3 linked regions of the Coturnix japonica genome follow. The protein of the gene in region 2 interacts with the protein of the main gene of each other region in a pairwise test. Links are inferred from orthologs where the notes say so. Each region holds a gene or a part of one and is shown on either strand. Other genes may lie near its edges.

Region 1 (4,281 bases), on a different chromosome or scaffold from region 2:
TGTAATTGACTCGATCTAATATGCAGAATTAAATATTAAAGAGGAAGAAAGCTGTTAATAATTGATACTGTTAATCCTGCTACCCATCTTTTAATGGCAACGGAGGGCTCTGCTTCATAACGCATTTTTATTTGGTCGGGTTTTATTTTCTTTTATTTTTTCGGTCGCATCTCGGATCGTTAAAATCGGAGGCATTTGAAACGCGGGTATTTTATTTACTGACTGTATACACCCTCCTGAATGGGCGAGCAAATGAGGGGAGGCTCTGGCACATGGTTTCCTGCAAACCTAGCAAATAAATTCACAGATCCCGGTGCCATAACCGGCCTAGAGATTCATTATTGTGAAATACTTTCAAAAAATTGAAAGAGTCAGGGAAATGGGTGGGAGTGCTCGCTGCAAAACAGCTCCGTCTCCCAGCCCTGGCAGCCTCTCCACATTAGCCCAAATTAAACTATTATTTAAAACAAAATATGCGTCGTAACCACACGCCATAGAGAAACCACACTGCATCCTCTTAGCTCTGGTCCCTGCGCTTACTTAGGACTTAATAACATTTTCTTGGACGAGGCTTTTCTATATTGAATTTCAGGGACATTGAGCACAGAACCTGGATATTTCATTCTCTCCGACCATTCACCTCCCGCTTGCAGTTTGTTCTGGATCTCTGCCCAGCACAATAGAACAGGACTTTCTTTTTGTGTGTGTGTGAGTGTGTGTGTGAGTGAGTGTGCACGGTGCAAGCCAAACGATAGGGGAAAAAAAGAATGCCCCCGCACCATCGTGCACACGGAGGGGGGAATACACCGCGTTTTCAGTACTGTTGCTCCTACACTTGGGTGAGGGGTTGAGGAGGGGGAAGGGGGGGTTGAGATGGGGTGGAAAAACCAAAATGAAGTTAATTCACGGAATGACTGTGCCAGGGTGTCCTGCACACGCTCCGCACGCTGTACCTTTAGCGGGGGCTTTCTCTGCCCTCTCCAACCCAACACTCCGCAACAACTTCGCCTTTCATTGCTCAAACATTCGCCGCGATATTGGAGCCAAATTTCTCCCTCTCAGCCCTTTCACCTCCCAGATGGACCCCGGGTACCAACCGAACCGGTGCGGGGTGAAGACCCCCCATTCTTACACACTCAAACTCTCTTGCGTCATTTTAATAACAACAACAACGCGTATTACAAGCAGCACTAACCATAATCTTATTAAACACATCAAAACGATTCTTCATTCTGCGTTTTAGGGCTAATAAAAGAGAAACCAGGTCACTAAAAAGGCACAGGCTGAAGTTTAGCTGTTCTCCAATCTGGCTACGTTACAAATAAAGAGCTAATTAAGCTGGAAGCACTCCCCCCTCTCTCTCTTTTTAACTCAACTCGGAGGGAGTTTGGAAATAGTGATATTTCGGCTTTGGAACAGTCAGACCCTGAAGTGAGGCACGAATATACGAGTAATTGGAAACAGAAAGAAGCGGAGGCGTGCAAAAAAAAAAAGAATAAAATAAAATAATAATAAAAGAAGAATAAAAACAAAAGAAAAGGGAAAAAGGAAACCAAGCAAAACGCTCACGACAAATACACCCACGGCAGCAAAAAAACAACAAACCCCGAGGTGAAGGGGAGCCCCGAGCCTTCAATCTGCCGGCGCAGCGCAGCTCAGCGGGCACGGAAAAGCCCCCGCCGCTGTTTACTTCCCCCCCACGTGAACTTTTCCTCCTCGATTTTCCCTTTCCCTTCTCTCCCCCGACCTCCGCTCTCCTCTCCCGGCCCTTCTCCCCGCGTTTCCCCGCACTCTCCCCCCCCTCCAGTCCCTCGGTTCTCTCCACCCGCAGCCCCGCACTCCCTCACTCCCTCTTACAGCAATGATCTCCGCTGCCGGAGTCAGCGTTCTGTAGGAAGGAGGACGGCTCGATCCAGCTTTTGTCCTCTCTGGACTCTGTTTTGGTCGGAGACGACTCTCGTTTTAATATTTATTTGTATTTCCCCCCAGAAACAATGCCACCCCTCTCCCCTCCCCACCTCTCCCCTTAGGTTGGCATCAGCCATCTGAGAGTTTTCTTTAAGCCCTGATTTTAAACTTTACGCAGCATTGTCCCCTTTTATTGCACCTCCTCCAGCTTTTATACTGTTTACTTCCTCACTTTTATAACTTACTTTGATCTGTTCTGTCTTTGTCTTCGCTTCCTTCACAAACTTTATTGTCCTCGAAGCTGGGCCTTTGATTGGAAACGATCCCTTCCCTTGCAGCAGAAGTTTCTAAATTGTACTCCTGTGTTCCCTGTTTATGGACATCCCCGGGACGGCCCAGCAGCGGCTCAGCCTTAACAGATCCCTGCCCGGGGAGGGTCTCTGCTCTGGGCACTGGATCCAGCCAGCTCCGTAGATACCTGCTATCAGATGGGACGCTTTGATGTTGAATATATGGATGGTAGACGGCAGGAAGGGTACCAGAAGAATGTGGATTCAAAGGAGTCCAGGAGGCGCTGAAAACAGGAGGTTTTGGCTGAAAACTACAAGAGGGGAATTCTAGATGTTCATTGTGCCCAGCTTGCCTGGAACTCGTATATTGCCCAGATGAAAATTTAGCTGAAGGCGAGTCTTCACTTTCATGACTTATAATAGAGTCGACATAGTAATTGCTAAGAGTCCCAGAAATGGACATTCTCAGACATCATACAAAGCACGGTTCAATGAAGGGAAAAAAAAAATATATAGGACAGATCTAGATTTGTACTCTACCCCCTTCTCGAACTTCCTAGCCAACAAAGTACAGTTGGGCTGCTGTGTTGTGAGCTCCCAGCAAAATGATTGGTCAAACTTTTTTCGTGTGCCTGATAAAGCGTCAGTCTCGGCGTAAATCAATCGAAGCCGAGGGGGCTGCGCTGCGCTGTCATCCGCCCTTGCATTCCATATCAAGGATGGATTGTTTTATGTTTATGCAATGTTGCAAAACGTCAGGAGTTTAGAAAAGCCACGAAACGGGCAGAGCTGGGGCTGATATCTCCCTACGTAGATTTTGCTGTTGTTATGGAGGGGGGGGGGGTCCGGGAGGGGGTCCGGGTTTCTTTTCTTTTCCTTGTTTTTTAATGAAAGATGCTGATGTATTCACTTCGCCTTTAATAACCACCATGGGGGAATGGGAGATAAAAGCTATTCTTTGCCACTCGGGCTCCAGAGTACGATAGCAAAAAACAAAAACCAAAAGGCAGAAAATACATAGAAATCAACCCCCCCTACCCCCCCATCCCCCCCTCCCTCCGACCCGCACCCCAGTGGTTTCGTATACACACATACTCGTGTGTGCATTACACGACATGCACACGATGCGCATACAGATGCGTTTTGGGAAGGAAAAGCGAGAGTCGTGGGAGGGTGTTGTAAATAACAAACCCTCTGGCATCGGAAAATGGATGCTAACGTGGTACGATCATGGGGGCAAATATGAAATTTCAAATGTGAGTGGCATATGCGTGACATTACGGCTCGGAGCAGCGAGCTGCAGACACGATCCCCCCCCTTCCTCCCTGCTCCCCCTCCCCATGCCCTCGGCTGAGTGCTTCTATCCGTATCGCATCCAAAAACCGCTCCGTGTATGAATTCATCTTCACGTGTTTTGCGGCATAATGTCGGGGTTGCTTTGCTGGAGCCGAACCAGCGTGATTCACCACGTCGCTGGAATCAGAAACCTTCATTGAACTTTACAAGCCCGGTGAAATACCGAGCGCCACTGACTCTGCTTTGTTGCGGAGTGCCTCCGACTTGCGACGGTTAAAGAGTTTAATAAAACTTACATTAGCTTTCTTGGATTTTTATAGTCCTGAATTTATTGCCTGTGGAAAAAGAAAGGGGGGGAAAAAAAAGGGATCCCTCGCCTTTCCAGTCACGGTGTTCCCCCCCCCGCACACCTCGCTTATAGCACCGCTTGTATGTGTGCGTGCCGCCTCCCCTCCACCCCCCCGCCGCCCTCTCCCCGACGGCGTTATCGGCGATCCGACTCATTTCGGCTTAATTTTAATTAGAATTATAATTTTTATTTCTCTTTTTTCCAGCCCTGGAAGCGATGATTGACGCGCGGCTCCGGTTTGGTGCGGGTCCCGCCCGGCGGTGCGGGGTAACAGGGTCAGTTTTTCCCGACTTATTATGATAAATGCGTTTATTGCGAGATGATCTGATGGCGTCGTAAATGTTGGTTAAGGAAAAGGTGCGCGGTGTGATTAGGGCAAAAGTGTTTTCTGGACTTCAGCTGTAACAGTCTGGATCAATTCGCCTCCTTTAATCTATT
Region 2 (4,369 bases):
ACCCTGGCCCCCGAGTGACAGGGACACCACGGTTGTTCCCAGCATAGCTCACCTCCCACTTGGTCTCCTCCAGCCGTGGCCCCAGCTCAGTGTGCTCCCGCTGGAAGGATGCGCAGCGACGCTCCAGCAGCTCCCGCTCCTGCAGCAGCTGAGCAAAGTCCTCCTGCAGTTGCTTCTTCTCCTGCTGCAGCTGCAGCACCTGGAGCTGCAGGACCTGCTGCCCACGCTGCGCCTGCTGGGCCGCCTGTCGCACCTGGGCCGCACAGCGCTGCCGCAAACCCTCCAGCTCCTGCTCACAGCGACGCTGCTTCTCTTCATACACCTGGGCACAGGCACACGCTGAGATGGGACATCCCACATCCCACACCACCTCCATGTCTCCCCAAGTCAGCATCTACAATCTCCATGGGGTTCCCCAGACACATCACTGCATGCATAACCCAAATCTACACAATAGGACTATATGGGCACCCCCAGCCCTGAGAGCTCCCCTGGTTCTCCTTACCCTTATATGGTTCTTACCTGGCAGATGGCCACCTCATTCTCATCCAGGCTGTCCCGCAGCTGCTGCAGCTCGGCCTCCCTCTCCCGCAGCTTGTCCTCCAGTTCACGCACCAGCAGAACCTCCTCACCAGGCAGCGGCGAGCGCCCGCAGGAGCCACTCTCGGAGGAGGGCCGGCCCCGGCCACTCAGCGAGCCCGTGCTTTTGCTGGAGGATGAGCGCCCACTGTCCGAGTTGGAGGGGCCGGCTGGTGGGCGGTAGCCACCTGGGGGCTCAGGGTGGCTGTGAGGGGTGGCTGTGAGGTTGCCAGGCTCAGTATGTTGGCTGCAGCCTGTGCTGTAGGTGGGCAGGCTGGACAGAGAGTTGCGTCCCGAGTCTGAGAGCGTGCCTGAGTGGCTGCTGGTGCGGCAGCTCAGTGAGCCAGGCTTGTCGGCCCCGGTGGTCCCCAGCAGGTGGGTGAGGCTCACCTGGCTCTCTGATAATGCTGCAGCCCCTGGACGTACCCCTTGGCTGGCCGGGCCCGGAGCAGCCCTGACTTTGGGTACCACCGGTTTGAATGCCATAGGGCGGATCAGGGTCTTCTCCACATTCTGCAAGGCAAAAGAGGAGAGAGTGGGATCTGGGGACCAGGTACACTCCAGAGGTGGCCTGGCAGATGCTGGGGATGCTGCCAGAGCACCAGGGAGGACTTGGTAACCCCACCAATTCTGCTCCCACCCAACACCTCAGAGTGTCACAGCTCTATAGAAGATGACCACTAGGTGCCCTCTGCTCCATGCAGCAGTTTCAGACAGGCTCCCACACACACATGGCCACTCCTGACATGAGGAAGAGGGCAGCAGGAGCACAGAGATCACCACCACCCCCAGCGACATGGACCATGTGCTCTCTCTATGCATGCACCAGCACGTCTCCCCAAGCCCAGCAGCCCCAGTGCAGCACAGGGCTGAGCAGATCCCCCAGCACTGCTTCCACCTTACCTCTTCTAGCTTGCCAGAGACAGGGACAAGCTTGGGGGGCGGCCCCCGGATGCCACCACTTGGGGCTTGTTCATCCCGTGCCTCGTCTGAGTCGCTGCAGGGGCTGACGGGAGAGGCTGCCTCCAGCCACTCCCCATGAAAAACTTCATTGGTGTAGGCATGGGCAGTGGCTGAGCACGGCTTCTTGGGGGGCAAAGTGTGGAGCAGGGGATCCGGGGGGCTGGCTCGCAGCAGCGTATCCTGCACACGGAAGGAACCACCAGCACCAGCAGGCTGGCAGGAGCGATCGTGGCATGGTCGGCTGGCAATCAGGCTGCCCACACTGCCCATGGTGCCGTGGGTGGGCAGGGGGGAGCGGGTGGCAGTGCGGAGCTGGGCAGCAGCCTCAGGCGTGGCCTCGATGGAAACTGGCAGTGTCTGCACAATGGCCATGGCAGGGGGGCCCCCAGCGGGCAGGGGGGCGCAGGCAGCCTGTAAAAGAAAGGCAACGTGAGGCCTTAAGCAATAAACTCACTCACTCATCCCATAGGACACCAATGAATATAGGACCCCCATAATGGCGCAGGCAGATGTGGGATGGCTGCAAGAGATATGCCGGGCATGAGCAGGCGTCGAGCAGAACAGCATAAAGCTGGGATTAGCCGGAGCAGGGGGAGGCACGGGGCATGCAGGGGGCTCACGCAGCACCAGTGCTCCCGTGCAGGGCCCAAAGGAAGAGCCCCACAGGGGCAGCCCCATGCACTCAGCAGGGTCCCCACTGCGTAGCAGTCACGGTGCCTTCTCTGCCCCACTGCTCCCGGTCCTGCACCCCTGCTCTGCCCCACAGCGCTGCCTACACTGCCATACCTCAGCTCCAGCCTCAGAGAGACGCCCCAAACACCTCATCCTGAAGCATCCTCCTCCCCAACCCCCCCAACCCCGGCACCAACATCACCCCGCTCCCCAATCCCGTCCCTACACCCCTCTCTCCCACAGCTCACGGTCCCCACTCCGCCCCCTCCCCCCGCCCTGGAGCTCCACACCGACGCGTCCCCCCGGGCCGAGCCGGACCCACCCGGGCCGGGCCGCCCCATGATGCGCTCGGGCCGCCGCGCTCCGCCCGCCGCGCTGGCACCGCCCCGGGGCCGCCCCCCGCTTCCACCGCCCCCAGCATCACCCCGGGGTGACGCCGGGCCCCCTCTCCCGTTGCGGGTCGCCCCGCTTCTCACCTGGCCGGCCGCGGCCCATCCGTCCGGCGGGTCCCGGCCCGACTCCGCCGCCCCCTGAGCCGGGAAAAGGAAGAGAGAGCGGGGTCAGGGCCGCCCCCCCCCGTCCCTCCTCTCCGTAGCGCCCCACTGTGTCCCCGCGGGTCCCACCGGCCCGTTCCGGCCCAGGCCCGGCCGCCCTCGCTCACGCTCCGCTCCGCACCGCCGCTCTCCGCCGGCCCGGCCCGCGCCAGGCCCCGCCCGCCCCGCCGCCCCCGGCCCCCGGCCCCGCGGCGGATGGGAGGCGGCAGGGGGTTGCCCTACGGCCGGGCCGCGGGGCAGCGACGGCAGCGAAGGGCCCTCAGGGGGCGGCAGGGCCTCAGCCCGCACCACGGCCCCGCAGGCAGCACGGGGGGGGCTGCGTCCCGCTCACCTCCACATCCCCGTCCTCCGCCATGGGCCCGGCTCCCGGCGCGGCGGCCAATGCCTCCTCCCGGCCCCACGCGTGGGAGCCGTGGGGCGCGGTGGCGGGGAGGTGCCCGGTGCTGGGTCAGCGCTGGGGCGGGAGGTGTGTGTGTGCGTGGGGCCATGGGGCCCCGCTGTGCCGTCCTGCCCCACGCACAGCATGGACACGGGGCTGAATGGGACCCAAAGTTGGAGGGATGGGGGATGGGAGCACGGGGACGCTCATGCAGCGAAGGACAAACAGCTTGAACAGCTCTGCTTTAATAAAAGTGTAAAGAAAACAGAGGGATGGGCCAAAAGCCCACGGCGGGCTCCCCTGTGCTGGGGAGGACTGGCTCAGACACAGTGTTTTGCCATGAGAGGCTCCGAGGCGCCCAGGGCTGTGTCCCTGAGGCATTGCTGCTACTGCTGCTGGTGGTACATGTGGCCAGAGGGGCCGGGCTCAGAGCCGGCAGAGCTGCACTAGCACCACACCGTGCGGGAGGTAAACCTGGGCCATCAGCCTCCACTTAGCAACCCTATATTGACCTGCTCAGGGTACAGAGACCCCAAAGCCTGCACATCCACTCCTCTCCCATCTCCCAGCATCGTGCTCTGCTCAGGAGGAGCGCAGCCGCACGGCACCTGGTGTGCCCGAGTACCAAGGTTGTCCCTGCCACACTCAGGGCTTGCCAGAGCCACCCACACCTCCTCCATTGGGACCCTTCTTGGGTGAAGGCGCCTTCTCCTCCTTCACCTTCTTCAGCTTGGCCTTGCTTTTGCCGTAGGAGGAGAAGGTGAGCGAGGCCTTGTTGAATTCCAGCGGGAAGACGCCTACATCGCCATCAAAGCGGTTCTTGGACACCTGCAGGTAGCGCTTCCCGGGACCCGTCGTGAGCTTGCGGTCCTGCAGGATGAGGACGTTGTCGGCCTCCTGGCTGGCCTGGGGGAGGAGAACATCTCCAGGGGGTGCTGCAGGGCACGGGGCACCCCCACACCCAGCGTCCTCCCTGCTACCCCACGGAGCAACTCATGCCACATCCCACCCACAGCTGATGAGCATCAATCAGCCGCGTGCCACCAGATGGCAGGGGACACCCAGCCCCACTGCAGCACAGTTTGGGTCACGGCGACGTGCCAATGTCCCCACCCTGTCCCCGCCTGAGGCCCAGGAGGAGCCACCTTGGCAGAGCCGAAGATGGAGGCGGTCTGCAGCTCCTTCTCGTCGTCCTCCTTGCGCGGGTGGATGACCAGCGTGA
Region 3 (4,351 bases), on a different chromosome or scaffold from region 2:
GTGCTGTGCATGCTGCATGTGCATTTGTTTAACCTCGGTTCAGCTCCATTGATTTATGAAGTCCTCTTGCAAGCACGATGTTGAAGGACTGAAAACACTGGTTTGCGAGGCTGTGCTTGAGGAGTTAGCAGCGTGGGTTAATCGAGTTAATTAGAAACTCCACTAAGGTTTAGGAGCCCAGCTTTGCTGAGCTGCCATATCTAAGGCTAGCTTGAATCAGGCTGCACACTGAAATTCTTACTCTTGTGTAACGTGTCTGAGATAACTTTGTGGTTTGAAAACGGTGTATGTAACATGTTGTTTTCTGTTTGGTTCTACAACAAAACAAAACTGGGTTTAAGACAGAGCAGTAGTGTTGCTGTCACTCGGTCTGTGAGCCGTGAGCAGCTGTACTGAGCTGTGGGCAGCTGGGAGCTGTTGTCCATGGGCAGCAGCTTCAGTCCCCTCTCTCCTGTTGGGAAGAGCTGCAGAACAGGATGTGGCCAAGGCTGCTGCTGGGAGCCTCAGCCTTGTTGAAGGCCCTCTGCATATCTGCGTGCACTTAAAATTCCTTAAAATTTACAGAACTTACATCTAAAATTGCAGGCAGAGTGGTTTTAATTTGTATAGGAGATGTAATAAAGGCATTGGATGTGTTGTATTATAGAAAGATCTGTATGTATGACTGCATAATGGAACCTCTCGAGCGAATGCCTTACACAGGCTGGTACTTGTGCTCTGGGAAGTACAGAGGGTTGTGCCTGGGCAGCAGCTCTGTTTCTTATGGCTCTGGGCAGAAGGTTTCCTGGCACTGGGAAAAGCCCCGGCCCCTATTGGTCCCCATCCACCACTCACAAGAAACAGCTGCAGGTGCAAGGTGGATCCCCTCCTTTCCCCAAAGCATGTGATGGAAGCACATGGAGGATGGGTTTGTGTTTACCTGCGCTTACATGCTTGCCCGTGGGTTTAAATGATGTGCTGGTACTGCTGGGTTCATGCTCCAGCATTGTCACTTATTAACATAACAGAGTCATTACGCACAGAGCGGAATGTGGCACTGAATGGTTTCTGTGTGTTGCACGGAGCTCGTGCGTTCAGTTACGAGTTTCTCAAAAGGTTGATTCCCAGCTTCTCGTCAGAACATTCTGTGCAGGCCTCTGCAGCAAGAAAAATTGGACCCAATTTAAATAGACAGTCTTGTGAATCCTGAAAGAATTTGGGCATTTAGCCCAGGAAAGGGAGAGTTCTCTGCAAGAACTTCATTAACCCTGTCTGTCAGCAGAATAAGGAATCAAAGGAGCTGTGCAGACTTCCCGAAGAACAGATCTTCTTGTTCTGCCCCGCAGCCGCGATGTGCAGCGCTGATCCAGGAGCTGTGTCTGTGCCCTGGGGAGATGGAGCCAAGAGCAGGTTACACATAGAAGAGTGGCTGCTGTCAGTTCCAGATCTTCAGGAATGTGTAGGGAAAGACACCACTGTACTAGTATAGATGCTAATACAGTTGTCCTTACCGTATTTAGTGGAGGAAGGATCCAAACCTGTTTCTGATGTAGATGTTTTTGTAAGTAGAAAGATGTTAAACCTTTTTACCCTGGGAAGAGTTTCTGCTTCCGTTTGGCTGCTCCTGCAAGGTCCGGATACCGGGAAGCTCCTGCAGCATCTGGCTGCTGTGTCTGCAGCACGCAGCCTTTACGAGGTGGCTTTGAAGTTGCCTTTGGATTCGAATGGTATGAATCTTCAGATCGGCTGGGCTGCGTGGTCCTCAGCATCATTTCCTGTGACTTTTGATTATGAGGAATGTAAATACTTCAAGCTGTTGTCCTGATGTTTTGAAGTTGGATGTGCATATATGTATATATAAAAAAATCCCCTGGGTTCCTTTGCATGAGATCCAGGTGTGCTGGCTGCACGGACTGCAGCACAGAGCACCCCCCATGGCCACGCATGAGGTTACTGCAGGCAGGTGGAGAGATGTGGCAGTGTCTGGCAGGGAACAGATACAATATAAATATATTTCTAGCTCATATTTAATCTTTCCTTCATTGGAAATGAATGAGTTCTGAGGAGGATAACGTAAATGTTCTTAAATAATTTGGCTTCAGGCTTGAAAGCTCTATTGCATTATGAGTTAGAAGATAAGCATGTTGTTGCATGCTTAGTAAGCACCATGGTAAAATTCCAGGTAGATTGAGTATGTGTTTGTTTTCAGCATGTTTCCTTAATGCTAGTAGCAGCCTGCAAGGTCTGTCTCAGCTGTTTCAAAGACTGTGAAACCATAGAATCATAGAATGGCCTGGGTTGAAAAGGACCACAACGATCACCTTGCTTCAACCCCCTGCTATGTGCAGGGTCACCAACCACCAGACCAGGCTGCCCAGAGCCACATCCAGCCTGGCTTTGAATGCCTGCAGGGATGGGGCATCCACAGTCTCCTTGGGCAGCCCAGTGCTTTCAAGAGGCTCTGAATTGCACGAAGAAGAGTATGAATTATGTAGCCTTGCCTTGGCTTCACAGCATATCTGAGTGCTGGCTGGAGAAAAGCAGCCCGTTCTTGTTGGTCAGTAATTACTGTATTACCTGTCTTCAGAGGAACTGTTTTTCACTTTAAACGCAGCTGCCTGCTGTCCATACTCAATGTTGTATGTGAATATGCATTTGGTATTTATCTGCCCACAGTAGGAACGGTGTACACAAATATGTATGGGTGGTGGTGGCACAGTAGGAAGTTCTGTGCAGGGAAGGAAGTGCTAGGGCTGGTGGAGGGGAACATTTATCTCACTGTCCAAGTAATTCTTTATTCATAGCCATAAATCTCTGAGTATCCCTGGCATTGGTCTCTTGGGAGCCCTGTGAAGCCATCCCTTGTAATGAATGGATGGAGCTAAGTAGTGTTTCAAGTGTGTTTAGGTTCAGAAGACTTTTAGAAACAATTCTATCTCCTGGTCTGGGGCCGAGTTCTGAGGAGGTGACCAAAAAAATGGCACAAACAGCAAATATCTCACATTAAACCTATTGTGTGTTGTGTGCCACATGAAGAGGGTTTGCAAAAAAATAGTGCAGCAGCAAGGATCAATCAAATAAAAGGGAGAAGGAAATTGATCCGTGGTTGTTGCTGTGTTTGGAGCCATAGGGGACAGCATGCAGAGCTCATCCACATCATAGCCCTCTAAGCTGGAGTGGATGCTGCTGCATCGAGGAGCTGAGTGTGAAGGGAGGCAGGATGGAGACGTGGGAGATGCTGAACCAAAACTGGAAGCAAGCTGGTAGCTGCCTGCCTGCTTGGTGGTGGCAGTTAATGAAAGTAATAGCATGAAAACCTTCCTGTCAGACTTATCAGCTCAAGTACCCTCTTCAGGTGTATGGTATGGATGGAAAAAGGGGGATTTTGATGCAGAGAATGCTTGGAGAGTACTTTGAACTTGCACTATAGATTTGTCCCTGAACTAGACTAGAGAGTACTTGAAAAGATAATGTTACCACAATTGGGAATAAGCTCTGGGTAGCGTAAAGTTTGTTGACTTAATGTCATTTTGCTTCTAGGTATAGAACAGTGAATTACAGTGTCTGTCATGGCATTTGTTTAATGAATATCAGTTGTTGACATGAAGAAGCTGTAGGTCTTCTCAGCCATTTTGCTGCAGCATTCTTGGTGGGCTTGGGGTGTTCAGGAGGCCAGCACCCCGTTACTGCCCACTAAGGCTGTCCGGAGTAGGATCTCAACAAAAAGTCAGCATGAAATCTTAACACAGCGCTGTCAGGATAAGCACCGTCCCAGTGTGGGAGGCTCAGTGCTGCTCTGCAGGCAGGGGATGGGTGCTTCCATCACCTCGGCCTTGGGGGGCTTGGAACCACGGGTGCAGTTCTCACTGATGATTGTGCTTTGGTTTCCACACTACCTCTAAAACTAGGAATATGTAAATGTATAAGAGTACTTCAGTATTTTTGTTCTTAGATGTTGTTTCCATAGTGGGACCACTTGTAACTTGCATTCATGTGAGTTGGATGAAGATAACCTTCTGAAAGGCTTCAAAAACATCATCTGTTAAATGTCACTCATGTGCAGTTTGATTTAAAAAAACGCAGTGCAGTGTCCTTAGGACTTAAAACTATCGACAGTTTTAGTTTGAAGCACAACTGTTAGTTGTGTCTGATAGTCGATGCTTTGTTACTCACGGCACCAGAGCCGGGCTCTGCTGCTTGAAGCTTCCCTGTTTCCACAGATGGAGAAAGCCATTTCCTGCCTGCTGTGGTTTGTCCTTCAGAGGTTTTGTCATTCAGAATGAATGACATTTTTTAGATAGTATCTTAGCCCTTTGGTTATGGATGATGTTACTACGCCTAATATAAAGTTGTGTAACTGGGTGATATTAAT

Evidence for each region.
Region 1: the proteins of LZTS2 (region 2) and HOXB9 interact in binary tests that used the Homo sapiens proteins (3 or more experiments, as listed by UniProt). The two-hybrid records come from large-scale screens. The link is inferred for Coturnix japonica from reciprocal best matches to the Homo sapiens genes LZTS2 and HOXB9.
Region 3: the proteins of LZTS2 (region 2) and NEK6 interact in binary tests that used the Homo sapiens proteins (3 or more experiments, as listed by UniProt). The two-hybrid records come from large-scale screens. The link is inferred for Coturnix japonica from reciprocal best matches to the Homo sapiens genes LZTS2 and NEK6.

What each region holds. Positions count from the first base shown.
Region 1 is NC_029542.1:3,139,034-3,143,314, reverse strand, and holds the start of HOXB9 (homeobox protein Hox-B9), read right to left. Parts: upstream 2,815-4,281; 5' UTR 2,662-2,814; coding exon 2,154-2,661; intron 1-2,153. UniProt on the Homo sapiens protein: Sequence-specific transcription factor which is part of a developmental regulatory system that provides cells with specific positional identities on the anterior-posterior axis.
Region 2 is NC_029521.1:20,199,632-20,204,000, forward strand, and holds the start of LZTS2 (leucine zipper putative tumor suppressor 2), read right to left. Parts: upstream 2,911-4,369; 5' UTR 2,691-2,910; intron 2,602-2,690; exon of another isoform or gene 2,509-2,601; intron 1,954-2,508; 5' UTR 1,915-1,953; coding exon 1,483-1,914; intron 1,093-1,482; coding exon 523-1,092; intron 323-522; coding exon 53-322; intron 1-52. Other genes in the region: TWNK (twinkle protein, mitochondrial), read right to left, coding at 3,793-4,053, 4,293-4,369. UniProt on the Homo sapiens protein: Negative regulator of katanin-mediated microtubule severing and release from the centrosome. Required for central spindle formation and the completion of cytokinesis.
Region 3 is NC_029532.1:7,814,181-7,818,531, forward strand, and holds the start of NEK6 (serine/threonine-protein kinase Nek6), read left to right. Parts: upstream 1-1,537; 5' UTR 1,538-1,552; coding exon 1,553-1,706; intron 1,707-4,351. UniProt on the Homo sapiens protein: Protein kinase which plays an important role in mitotic cell cycle progression. Required for chromosome segregation at metaphase-anaphase transition, robust mitotic spindle formation and cytokinesis.